2 linked regions of the Arabidopsis thaliana genome follow. The protein of the gene in region 2 interacts with the protein of the main gene of each other region in a pairwise test. Each region holds a gene or a part of one and is shown on either strand. Other genes may lie near its edges.

Evidence for each region. Proteins that work in one complex are often made in the same cells at the same time.
Region 1: the proteins of ALE2 (region 2) and GAE5 interact in a protein complementation assay, tested with the Arabidopsis thaliana proteins (one large-scale study listed by BioGRID).

The regions. Positions count from the first base shown.
Region 1 is NC_003075.7:7,287,588-7,292,731, reverse strand, and holds GAE5 (UDP-D-glucuronate 4-epimerase 5), read left to right. Parts: upstream 1-1,611; 5' UTR 1,612-1,883; coding exon 1,884-3,194; 3' UTR 3,195-3,540; downstream 3,541-5,144. Other genes in the region: AT4G12240 (zinc finger (C2H2 type) family protein), read right to left, coding at 3,743-4,837. UniProt on the Arabidopsis thaliana protein: Involved in the synthesis of the negatively charged monosaccharide that forms the backbone of pectic cell wall components.
Region 2 is NC_003071.7:8,754,208-8,762,876, reverse strand, and holds ALE2 (Protein kinase superfamily protein), read left to right. Parts: upstream 1-2,578; 5' UTR 2,579-3,031; coding exon 3,032-3,104; intron 3,105-3,651; coding exon 3,652-3,756; intron 3,757-3,847; coding exon 3,848-3,958; intron 3,959-4,108; coding exon 4,109-4,477; intron 4,478-4,558; coding exon 4,559-4,816; intron 4,817-4,895; coding exon 4,896-5,285; intron 5,286-5,395; coding exon 5,396-5,621; intron 5,622-5,699; coding exon 5,700-6,402; 3' UTR 6,403-7,025; downstream 7,026-8,669. Other genes in the region: RIN13 (RPM1 interacting protein 13), read left to right, coding at 1-123, 499-585, 674-1,549. UniProt on the Arabidopsis thaliana protein: Required during the differentiation of the protoderm into shoots epidermis and cuticle.

The sequences.
Region 1 (5,144 bases), on a different chromosome or scaffold from region 2:
AATCTATCATGTTTGGATGTTGCTTTGGATTTGAACTTCTTTCTTTACTTTGAATGCTTTGGATTCGATTCTAAACGATGTTTTTATGTCTTGCTTTGGATTTGAACTTCTTTCTTCTATTTGAATGGTTTTATTTGGATGTTTTGAATCTTGCTTTTTGGGTTGAACGTATGAAACTTTTATTATGTCATGCTTTATTGATTTTACTTTAAGTTTTTTTTATTACAAATTTACAGGTTTTATGGTATATGTGGTTAGTATCAAGTATGTTCGGGTATATTATAGTAGTTATAAACTAGTATCGAATAATATTCGGTTACTTTTTGGATTTTTCAATGGAAGTACCAATACCTACCCAAACCCAAAATTTACCGGATCGAACCCGAACCGAAGTTTTCAAATACCCGAACGGGGTCTAAAATTATAGTTCCGAAAAATCCGAACCCGAAAAAATCGATCCGAACCCGAACCGAATACCCAAACGCCCAGGACTAGGAGAAAAATACTCCTATCAACCAAATGAGTGTATATCAGACGATGTGTACGGACTAGCTTGATAATTAGTACAAGCGTCAAACAACAATTTTTTGAAATAAATTTAGAATTTTGTGCAATAAAAGCAAATTTCTTTGACCCAGCCGGTTATGCTCTAGTAAAATTAGTTAATGATCGCTAGAAGGACAAAGTCAATCTTGATTTTGATAATATCCTAATCTAACCAGAGTAATTACAAATTAACTGTATATGGCATAACCGATATTTTGGTAGTAATTGATTTGGCTCCTTATTACCATAAAGAAATAGAATTTTATTATAAAGAGATCAATTTTCTGATAGGTTAACTATACTAAGCTGATTAATATCAGTGTTGCGTGATTATATGGTATATTACGATTTGTATATCTTATTAAATGTGGATTATTTCTTAAAGCTTTTACTATGACACTAGGAATATATAACATTAATTTTCGTTTGATGTCGAAAATAATGGTTAGGTGAGATATAACAATCATAAACTAAATTAAAATAATATTTAACTTATCACGAATATTGTTCACATTGCTAACATACTAGCATGTATCCACATAGTATTGTTCACATTATAAGTAGAAAATTCTTATTAAAAAATAAAAAAATCACTACATTTTTTAATGCAATTTTATTGTTTACCTCCTAAAAAACAGATCAATTTCATAAAATAAAAAATAACTCGTAATAAAATTCCTCAAAAATAACCGATTTTGTATTATTTACTTTTTTGTCAATCGATATAAATTAGAACTAAAAAAAGTTAATCCCGAAAGATATTATTTATATATATGACATGATACGATCGATTTTATATCTATTTTTATCATTATTACCCCCGTTATTTCACATTTCTTATAACCTTTTGTTATTGTATAATTTTTCTTTTTATTATCAATCGGAACAAAGAAATACAGAAGTTAAAAGCAAAAGTAGTAAATATTATTAAACAATTATTGCGTGTAAAAATAGTGTATATGTGATCGTGTACAAAAGTACATGCATAACATGATCAATATAGAATGCAATACAACTATACAAATGTCAACAATCTACAAACACGTTTTAACTTTGAAAAGCAATCTAAAATTCATGAATCTAAATATACTCTCTGGCAGCTTTCTTATTACCATATCTTAAAGATTGAACCAAATAAATAAATTTACATCATTAACCAAATTAAACCATCCACATTTAATTTAATTACAACAAGTAAGTAAAAGATCGTCTCTTTCTTCTTTCCCGGAAAATCCTCTCATTTTTGACTTGCTCAATTTTGCTTCCTTAAGACCCAAAAATCCAAACCTAACCCTAATCGACATTTTCTCCGATTTCTAAATCCTCCTCCGGTGAAAATGTCTCACCTTGATGATCTTCCTTCTACTCCCGGAAAGTACAAAACCGATAAAGTTCCACCGTACGGGATTCTCCACCACCACCGTTACCTCCGTCTCTCAAAACTCACCCTTTGGGCTTCTCTCTTCCTCGCTCTCTTCCTCTTCTACCTCGTTTTATCTCCTCCTCCGTCACCATCTCGCCGGAATCTCAACGATTCTTCCTCCATTTCCGCCGCGAAATACGGCGGCTCTCACTGGGAGAAACAAGTCCGTAAATCCGCTCGTCCTAGGTCTCACGGCGGTTTAACGGTATTAGTCACCGGAGCTTCCGGATTCGTCGGTACTCACGTCTCGATCGCGTTACGAAGACGCGGCGATGGTGTTCTAGGTCTCGACAATTTCAATCGATACTACGATCCAAAGCTTAAACGAGCAAGACAAGGCCTTTTAGAAAGATCAGGTGTTTTCGTAGTCGAAGGCGATATAAACGACGCCGTTTTACTCAGAAAGCTCTTTGATGTTGTCCTCTTCACACATGTTATGCATCTCGCTGCTCAAGCTGGTGTGCGTTACGCAATGCAAAACCCTGGCTCATATGTTAACAGTAACATTGCTGGGTTTGTGAATCTATTAGAAGTATCGAAATCAGCGAATCCGCAACCTGCTATAGTCTGGGCTTCCTCTAGCTCTGTTTATGGTCTGAATTCGAAAGTACCCTTTTCGGAGAAAGACCGTACCGATCAACCAGCGAGTTTGTACGCAGCTACGAAGAAAGCAGGTGAAGGAATTGCGCATACTTACAATCACATCTACGGATTATCGTTAACGGGTTTGCGGTTTTTCACTGTCTATGGACCTTGGGGTAGACCAGATATGGCGTATTTCTTCTTTACTAAAGATATTCTTAAAGGGAAGACGATTACTGTGTTTGAATCTCCTGATAAAGGTAGTGTTGCTAGGGACTTCACTTACATTGATGATATTGTAAAAGGTTGTTTAGGTGCGTTAGATACTGCTGAGAAGAGTACTGGTAGTGGTGGTAAGAAGAAAGGTCCTGCTATGTTTAGGATTTATAATTTGGGGAATACTTCTCCTGTTCCTGTTACTAAGCTTGTGACTATATTAGAGAAGCTTTTGAAGATGAAAGCTAAGAAAAAGATCATGCCTCTACCGAGGAATGGGGATGTTGAGTTTACTCATGCCAATATCACGTTAGCGCAAGCAGAGCTCGGTTATAAACCTGCGGTTGATCTTGAGACGGGTTTGAAAAAGTTTGTGAAATGGTATATGGGTTTTTACACTGGCTCGAAGAAGAAGAGTTCTTGGTGAGCTCTGTCTCTCTGCTTAAGTCATGGTCTCTGTTTCCCCTTGTTGAGCTTGGAGTTCGCTCTAGGTTAAGCTTTTGAAACCGAGCACTTGCATTGCCAGGAAAAATCACTTACGTATCTGCATTGTTTCTGTGTTGCTAGATTTTGCTTCATTTATTTGTTAGTAGATTTTGAGCAATGTACAGCTTCATCACTTAGATGTTTCAATTGTCGAAACTCAATTGTCTTTTCCATCATGTCGGAGGAATAAAGTAGCTTGGATTTTGATGCATATACTCTGTAGTAATTCAATCTATTGTCACTTGTTTCTTGTGAATTCAAACATATATTTATTCTTATTCTGACCAATTTTTACATAGCTCTAATCACTTGACTAACGATGATGGTTTGGAAGAACAAATCAAATCACTGCATAATCTTATAACAAGAAACAATGAATGTTCTCTAGCCTGAAGTTTATGTAATATGCCAATAGATTCACAAGATTGTTCTCTAGCCTATACCATGTTATCTTCCTCTGCGCAATCAACCACGACATATGCGATGATGTTATCGACAAGTTCTTGAAGATCCAACACCATCTTCAGTATCGATCTTCCACCAGTCAACACCATCACCAATCTCCACAGGTTCCACCTCTGTTCCATTCTCAATCTCATCATCATAATCAAACTCGTAATCCCAAACACCGCAAGAACCACCTCTCTCTTTCTCCAAAGCAGGATCATAAGTCCACTCCAACTTCTTCAACACATCTCTATCCTTCCACTTCCCCACAACTTTCTCAACTTCCTTCTTCGCCTTCCCCATCGTCACTTCCTTCCACGAATACGCAACATCCGCTACTCGCTTCAGCGCACCTTCGTTCGAATCTCCAATCACAACCGTCCTCAAACACCTCTCCTTAGCTTCCCACAAAATCCCCGCAAAATCAGAATCATCAGACACTAAAACAACACACTCCACTTCTCTCTTATCCATCACTTCAACCAAATGTTCCTTCAACGCCTTATCAGCAGCATCTGGCTTATCACTAACCATCTTCACCCAAAAACCAGCTCGTTTCAGCTCATCAGCTAAACCGTAACCTTCCTTCGGAGTCAAAACATTCCTCGCCGCTCTTTTATACTTCTCAATCTTCATCGAATACTTAGCCACAAGTCTCACTCTTCGATGTCCTTTCGAAGATTCAATCTGTCTCATACGTTTCTGATTCTCTGTCTCATGAATCTGCTTGAAATGATTAATTAGCTTCTCGTTAGTGTAGAATCTCCGGTCACAAACACCGCAGAAGTAAGGCTCCGGTGGTTTAACTAAACCTTTGTTCTCTAATTTGTTTAGCAATTTCCTATCTTTCCTCTGTTCTCGAACTTCTAAAGGAACGTAGCTAAAGGCGTGACGATTCGCATACGCCATCATTAGCTTCACGGTTCCGAAAGACGACGCGGCGGTTCGGAGCTTGACGGCGGCGTCGTAAGGCGGGAAAGAGGCTGGTGGTTTGTTGTCTAGATCCCACCAAACCCCTACTCGGATTTTGGGTTTAGGGTTTATCGAGCTAGAGCTAAAGCTAAAACCTTTGATTGAATTGAGAGATGTGGTTTGGGTTTTAGGTCTCCAACTTTTTAGGACAAATCTTGAAAACATCGCCGGGATCTTTAAAATCGACGGAGAAGATGGGGGCTTCAAAAAACCCGGTTTACATTACATACCCGACCCGGATCCGATTAGAGTTCGGCGATTCTCATGTAAGTTCAATCTGGAGCAAAGAAGAAGACGAATTGAAATACAAAATATAACACCTATAACCCTGAACTTTGTAAATGTTACAATTTTCTTCCTTAACTTTATTAGGGAACAAAACACACCACTGTTCATAGAAAATTATCAAATTTCTACTGCATTAGGTTATTACTGTTATTGTTTTGAATACAGTAAAAGATAAAAACAAATA
Region 2 (8,669 bases):
CAAGCTTTGGAAGATGATGACGACTGTGTGATTTTGGACTGTGATCCCGACAAGACGAGGGAGACTACTTCAGTTGACGACGACGATGATGATGATGTGCTTGTAGTGGGTCAAAAGGGTGAGGTATGTTTTCACTGAACCCTTCTCATTTCTAAGTTCTCTTTCGTTTTCTTCATTCGAATTGGTGTGAAAGGCAGAGTTTCTCATTTCAGATTATGTATGCGTTAGTGTTGTTTAGCTCTGAGGAACTGTTTTAGGAATGGATAGTTATTGAACTGTTTTGTGTTATTGTAAAGTAATCGTTGTAACATTGATGAACTTTTTTTCTTTGGTGATGGAACTGTTTTAGGAATGGATAGTTATTGAACTGTTTTGTGTTATTGTAATTTAATCGGTGTAACATTGATGAACTTTTTTTCTTTGGTGTGTTCCATCTTTATACAAGTGTTGTTCACTTAAGTTTTCCTAATATGAAAAAGCATTTTTTTTGTTTTGTAGATAGCATGTAGAGATTTCCCTCATCCGCGACATTCGTGTGCTAAGTATGCGTTCAACTCAACATCACATGAGAAGTACTGTGACATGGTAAGTATCTAAATATTCTCTAATTCTACACGGAGCGTTAATGGATTCTTTTCCTGGCTGATCCTTTTCATTTGGTTTCTCTTTCAAGTGTCATTGTTATGTGTGTGACATCCGTGCTCCGTGTCCATACTGGTGTATCGCTGTCTCCTCCATAGATCATTGTCATGCTAATGATAAAGAGAAGATATGGAAGAATCAACGTGAATACTTCAGGACAGGATACATGCCTACCGCACCATCTTCAAAACCTACTCCAAGTATTTTACGGGTACCCAAAAACACTTTGCTTCGGAAAAACCATGTTGAGATCCGGCCTTGTTCATCATCTACCCGTGTTGCTAATCCTTCAAGTGTCAAAGCCAGGCATAGAATCAGGCAACCGATTCCGCACAATCAAGGGTTGCAGAGTCAACCGGCACAGTCATTAAGCACTGTTCGCGACAGCGTGATCCAAAAGGATAGAAGTTCTTATAGGTTTAGCCTACGATCCCGAGTAGCCTCTTCTGCGGGAAATGGTATCAGCATCCGATTTAACAATGCTCAAGTTTCACAATCCAGTCACCATAGCTCTTCCACAGTGGCACCTACATTAAACCCGGAAACGTACACTCAACAACGCAATGTTCGTGATCATTGCACAGCGCTACCTGGTTCTCAGAGCAACGTGTTCACTCGACATGCAGACCAGAACATACGTGGTAGTGGAAATCGTCAGTTTCAGACAAATGTGGATCGGTTTGCTCCGTCCAAAGCTCCTCTTACTGCTGAAGATTCGCATACAGCTACGGTACAACAGCAACCAGGGATTAATGAAAACGTCTTGGAGACCAAACTATCGGAATTTGAGAAATGGCTAATGGAAAATCCTAACCCAACCGGCCCTGTTAGTCCGTTACCTGAACCGGGAAATCAAGACTATGCTAGTACGTTGTCATTTGATTTTGAAACATTTTTGAATGATTGAAAGATTCATAAGGGTAGTTTGTATCTCCGTCCCTAGGTTAACTCTCTTCACTGATTGTATTTTGTAGAGGGAGTGCTGTAGTTTATTACAATCTCGATTGTGTGTATCATTTAATTAGCTGCTACTAGTACATCATAAAATTAAGTCCTAAAAAGTACCTGTTTGCCAATTGACATAAATAATGTTTGTTGATTTGAGTTTTTTAAGGTCAAAAATCAAACATACCATCATTATCACTGCCTGTTTAAATGATTAGGGAGGGGAAAATATCCATGTAATGTAAAAGAAGACAATCAACAATCGAAAAGCGATAGATATAGAAAGAGGCACACACATATGGTCTTGATTAAATTTGATCAAACTTCTATTTTGCCTAATAGACAAATAGTCCAAATTTATCAAAACCGGAAAAACATTGTTATATTTTGGATCAAAATTACTTCTACCATCATTTAGTTAGCTTTTAATATTTTAGAAACAATTGAATTTTTGACCCAAAAAAAGAAACAATGGAAATAACTGATAAAGTCTTCTTAAAAGTATAGGAAATTTTGCCAAGTATATAGTATTAATTTTGGAAACAAACACGAAAATGGAATAGTTTTGAGAGTTGATACTTGTCATTTGTGGAATTATTACTATTACTTTTTAATGTAAAATATTTCGAAAATAAACTTTTAACAAAAGTAAAATCCGAAAATACTTAGTTTCCAAGTTTATAGAAATCAAGCCCAGCCCATTTGGGGTTTTTAATTTTTTTTTTTTTTTTTTTTTAAAAAAAAAAAAAAAAAAAAAATCAAACCCAAAACGATTCCGTTTAGTAGGCTAAAATTCAAGTAAGTCCCGGCCCAATAAGGCAACTAACGCCCAAAAAAGAAACGGTTTTGTCGATGTGACGGTAGCAAACGGCCACCAGTTTTGTCGTTTCGATGTGCGTGGCCACCACGCGCATACGAAACCGCGTCGGTGTTCGCTAACGCCATCATCATCGCCTTTTTTTTTTTTTTTTTTTTGCCTTTCTCCGAAAGCAGTCTCACTACGGCAACACACTACCCTACGCCCCCTTCCCACCATCAGCATTAAATTCTCTCTCTCTCTTCGCTTCTTCTGGTTTCGAATTCACTTTACTCTCTTCGCTTCCAATCTCTCTCTACCACTCTGATACCTTCGCCGGAGAAGAAGCTCTCGTTCTCTCTATCGTCGGAGAAGCTCTCGTTCTCTGCTTCCCTGCTCTGTACAGATCTCGAGCCGCATTTCGTGGATCTGTCAAAATCGCGTTAAAACCTACTCGCTTCTCTCTAACCCTAGGGTTTTTGAATTTTTTTCGGGACGAGGGAGAAATCAATGTCTGTGAAGCTTTGAGGAAGCTATATGGTTACACCTTTGGTTCTGGTTAGTCTTCGTTTTGATCGGCGGAGAGTGTTCGCCGAGGCTTGGTGTCTCCGTTATTGACTAATGGTGGTTTTTGATTTGAGATAAGAGATGCGGAACTTTGCGATGCTTCTGCTGTTAATTCTTCTTCTTCACTCTCTCGCCTCGTTTCCTATATGCTTTGGTATGAACTAGTTAACAAATTTCTTTTCCCCTTTTCAAATTTAGGAAACGATTTTGATAGGAGAAATTAACCTTTAGTTAAGTTGCTCTTACTTTGACAGCTCAAGATTAGTTGGTGGTCTATCTATATTTAGAATTGTTTATTGGATTTAGATATATTTAGAAGCTAATTTTGGTTATGTACAAAGTAAGCAAAAGAGTTTAGATTATTTAAGTTTGGAATCTGTGATTGTGAAGCGTGAGAGTGAAGATCAAGTCCTCACGTTTTGTGCCTTAATTGGCACACAACCTTTTAATAGCTAGAATGCACATAGATCTTACTCTTTCTTTTCTGAGTATCTTGAGGAAATATCGATTTTGTGTGACATTCTCTTGGCCAAATTTTATCCTCTACAGTTGGCATTATACTTTTAAACCCAAGAGAGGAGGATGGAGTATGCATACTATTAGAAACATTCTATTTTTTCGAAACTTTTCACTGCTATGAATATTCGACATGTGTAGAAAGAATCTATAGATGACTTATCAGCTTGCTTTATCATTTGCAGCTCGGTTATTTCCGATGAGTTTGCCATTTACCCGATCAAAGGCGCATCAAATGCATTTCTTTCATCCTTATCTTAATCCATCAGTTGCTCCTACACCTTCACCAGGTCAGTAAGGGAATCCTATTTGTCACCTAAACATAGTGTCATTATGTTTCTGTCTAGGAGTATTCATTGTTCATTGTCTTTCCCTTTTTAGCTTTTTCCCCCAACCCAAGTCGCATTCCACCACTAAGGCACAAGGGTCATCACCGTCATCGTCGCTGGCATTTAAGACGCAATGCCACTGCAGTGTCACCTTCGTCACATGGTAGTTCTTTTGCTTCTTGTTGGTTATCCTGCGTCCTATTATAGTGGCAACGATAATGTTTTATATGAATACTTTTTCTTCAGACTTCAGTTGATAAATCAAGCGTAGTAACTACTTTTTCCTGTGTATTTCCGGCTTTCCTTTTGATAGACTGTCAGCAGACATGTGTGGAGCCTCTCACTTCAACTCCCTTTGGTTCACCTTGTGGTTGTGTCTTCCCCATGAAAGTTCAGCTTCTACTAAGTGTCGCACCTTTTTCTATTTTCCCCGTGACCAACGAGTTAGAAATTGAGGTTGCTGCTGGAACATACTTGGAACAAAGCCAAGTGAAAATAATGGGTGCCAGTGCCGACAGTGAAAATCAAGGGAAAACAGTGGTGGATATTAACCTTGTTCCACTTGGGGAAAAGTTCGACAACACTACAGCAACACTTATTTATCAGAGATTCCGGCACAAGAAAGTACCTCTAAATGAGACTGTTTTTGGTGATTATGAGGTTACGCACATAAGTTATCCAGGTAAACTGATTTCATTCAGATGCAAGTTTCTACTTTTTTTTTGTTTTATTTCAAAGTTTGAACTTCTTAACCTTGCTTCAGGAATTCCTTCTTCTTCGCCAAATGGAGATGTTACTGGAGATGCTCCAGGAGGCCTTCCAATTCCGATCAATGCAACAACTTTTGCCAACAAAAGCCAGGGAATAGGTTTTAGAACGATTGCAATTATTGCGTTGTCAGGTTTTGTCCTCATTCTGGTTTTGGTTGGAGCTATTTCTATAATCGTGAAATGGAAGAAAATTGGGAAGTCATCTAATGCTGTTGGTCCGGCTTTGGCTCCATCGATTAACAAAAGGCCTGGTAATTTTCACCCTCTGACTTCTTAACGCTTCTATAGCTTTAAAAGAACCTGTTTCTGAAAAATTTATTCGCCTTGCAGGTGCTGGATCTATGTTTTCCAGTAGCGCCAGAAGCTCAGGCTCAGATTCTTTGATGTCTTCCATGGCTACATGTGCTTTATCAGTTAAGACCTTCACACTCTCCGAGCTTGAGAAGGCTACTGATAGATTCAGTGCCAAGAGGGTTTTGGGCGAGGGCGGATTTGGTCGTGTTTATCAGGGGAGTATGGAAGATGGAACTGAGGTTGCAGTGAAACTGCTAACTAGGGACAATCAGAATCGAGACCGTGAATTTATTGCCGAAGTCGAGATGCTAAGCCGTTTGCACCACCGCAATCTTGTGAAACTGATTGGAATATGCATTGAAGGTCGTACACGTTGCTTGATTTATGAGCTCGTCCACAATGGGAGTGTTGAGTCCCACTTACACGGTGACATATTCTTTTCTCTGCACTTTTAATAACAATATATCCCAATTATATCCATCACTTCTCGTTGCATCACCACCTAAAACCTGGCTTTCCGGTTGTTGACAAAACAGAAGGAACGCTTGATTGGGATGCGCGGTTGAAGATTGCACTTGGAGCAGCGAGAGGACTGGCTTATCTCCATGAAGATTCAAATCCCCGAGTAATCCACCGTGATTTCAAGGCTAGCAATGTTCTCCTAGAAGATGACTTTACCCCAAAAGTCTCAGACTTTGGACTGGCAAGAGAAGCAACCGAAGGAAGTCAACATATTTCAACTCGAGTCATGGGGACCTTTGGGTAAAATTTCTTTCCAACTCAAATATGATGAATACAGACACTCTGGACTTACAGTGACTACCCTGGAAATAATTTCAGGTACGTGGCTCCTGAGTATGCAATGACGGGGCATCTCCTTGTTAAAAGCGATGTCTATAGTTATGGTGTAGTTCTACTAGAGCTTCTAACCGGTAGAAGACCAGTAGACATGTCTCAACCTTCGGGAGAGGAAAACCTTGTGACATGGGCGAGACCCTTACTAGCCAACAGAGAGGGCCTGGAGCAACTGGTGGACCCTGCATTGGCTGGAACCTACAACTTTGATGACATGGCGAAAGTGGCTGCGATTGCCTCCATGTGCGTCCACCAAGAGGTCTCACACAGACCATTCATGGGTGAAGTTGTGCAGGCACTAAAACTTATATACAACGATGCAGATGAGACCTGTGGTGATTATTGCAGCCAAAAGGACTCATCAGTACCAGACTCTGCTGACTTCAAAGGCGATCTGGCTCCTTCGGATAGCAGCTGGTGGAATTTGACACCTCGGTTAAGGTATGGTCAAGCTTCGTCGTTCATAACAATGGATTATAGCTCAGGACCACTAGAGGACATGGAGAACCGGCCTCACTCTGCCTCTAGCATTCCAAGAGTAGGAGGTCTTATTCTACCAAACAGATCAGGTCCGTTAAGACCCATGCGTAGTAGAAGAAACTTCTTTAGACTGAGAGGAAGCATGAGCGAACACGGTGGACCGTCGTCGTCTAGACATCTCTGGTCCGGCAATGGTGACTGGCTCTGAGAAACCAGAAAATGTACAGTGAAGAAAAGGGAAAAGGAGGCTCACAAACTCTTGAGCTGCATGGTTAGGTTCTGGTTAATCCGGCCAGGTTCGGTTCATCTGGGTAAAGATTTCCGGTTTGATTTCTTTTAGGAGCTGTTTGTTGTTATGATTATCCTCAATAGAGATTTAATTGTTTGTTTTTGCGAGGATGCAAAAGCACAGGGAGGGTTGTATTTTGAAGGACGCCTGTATTTAGTTCTCTCCTTTTCTCTCTCACCCACAAAAAAACATTTTTATATATTTTATTTTAGTGAAGTTAGTAATTACCTAATTTTTTTTAGTTTTTCAAGTTCCTAAGAAATTTGGCTTTTGGTCATCGTTGTTAAGTTTCCGGTTTTCTGAATTTACATCCGAAATATTTTTTGGTTAAATAAAATTCTGGCTTGAGAGTAATTGGCTGGTGAATGGTAACAAGTCACTTGGTCAAAGCTGTTGTAATTCTTTTCTAATTTCTAGTATCTTCTGTAGATTGGACACAATGACATGGATTGTTGATCTTTAAAGTCGTAGAGTATAATTTGATATGTTTGTCTTTCTTCCTCCATATCTTCTTAATTCCTCCTTCCACTTCAGCCAAACCGAAGCTTGCTTTCGAGTTTCTGAGTCTTCTTCATTTTGTTATACAACACAGTCTAAAGAAAGAAAATCTGTAGGCCCAATAAACACAAAAATCGATTTATGGGCTAAGCAAACAACGGTCACAGTGGCTGAGTAAACGGAAGAGAAAAAAATATTTTAAAATTTTGAATTTAAAATTAATAAGGTCTTATTGGGCCTACATTATGAAACCTATCTAATCTCTCGAGATATAACAGTTGAGGACAAAACGCTAAAATCCGTTTGCGTTTGGTTTATATTGGCAAAAGCAAAATAATTTTTAATCGAGGAATATGTAGGAACGTCCGATTTAAGTATCTGACTGATCAGATCAACGTGACCAAACGAACCATGAAATGAATGCTACTGGAACCCAAAGTAAAGAACAAAGAAACTAGAATTGCTAGTTAGTATTCATAATATTAATAGTTAGTTTTTTAAGAAGTTAATTTTTTTTAATTGCTAAATATTTTTAATCAATAGTTAGTTTTTTTTCTTATATTATCAATTAAATATTTATTAAAATTTTCAAAATTACCGTGCAAAATTTATACTAAAAAATTATATACTCAATTGTTTTTCATATTACTTTCTTATGAAACTCATATCGTCATATGTATTGAGTTTAATTGTAATGATTTATTTTCTAATGAAAATAAGGAGTTAATATTTTCCAATTGATATGTATATGTGACGTATGAGCGAACAAAAAAGAAGAAGAAAATATATTTGTGGTTATATAGAAAAGAAAAATGTTACAAAAAATGGATTGTACCGAAGACAAAACCTCATGAGTCACTTAAGTAGAGAGAGAAACCAACTGAGCCAACATATCATTCCGAGTTTTGTTTTTTGTGTCTAAACCATAATTTCATGTTTGTGTTGTGTGAAAGCCATGGAAGCCGGCGGGAGCAAAACCAAGAAATGAGTTGCTTGCTACAAGAGGTACAATTCTTATAGAGAATATGTTTTTCACATCAAGATTGCGTTCCATTCGATTCATCAGCCTTAGTGTGGGGTTTGCTTCAAACATTGTAAATCATTCGAATCTGTTCGAGAACACCTTCACGGTATGGCTTGAGCTTATATGATCTTCTTGTTCTCTGTTTTTTTGTTGGGTTGGTGTTTGATTGATGATTATTTTGAACAATGTCAGTTCCGAACCATCCCTCTCGACCATTCAAAGAAAAATGCAAAACCATTTTCGCTGAAAAAGGGTGTGAACTTTGTCTTCAAGTCTTTGTGGAAGCCACTGCTAGGGATGAGCATATGAAAGAGTGTCTCATGTCTTCACCACCTCCTATCCAAAATGCTTCTAGTGCAAGTGGCACACGCGTGATGAGTCTGTGCATATCTAATTTTAGAAAAAACTATTTTGACTCTAGTGGATACAAAGATGTTTTTAACATTATACACTGTTAAAATTGAGTTTTTTTCAATGACTTTATCGAAAACATATTGCGTTCTATAATATTAATCAAAGATAAAATCCTAATAAAACGTAAATATATAACAATTTCTTTTTTTAATGAATAGTCTATAACTTTTCTTAAAATATAAGACTAGTATGTATCATGCTCATAAGATGGAAATAAAAACATGTTAAAATATTAAAGAAATTATAAACT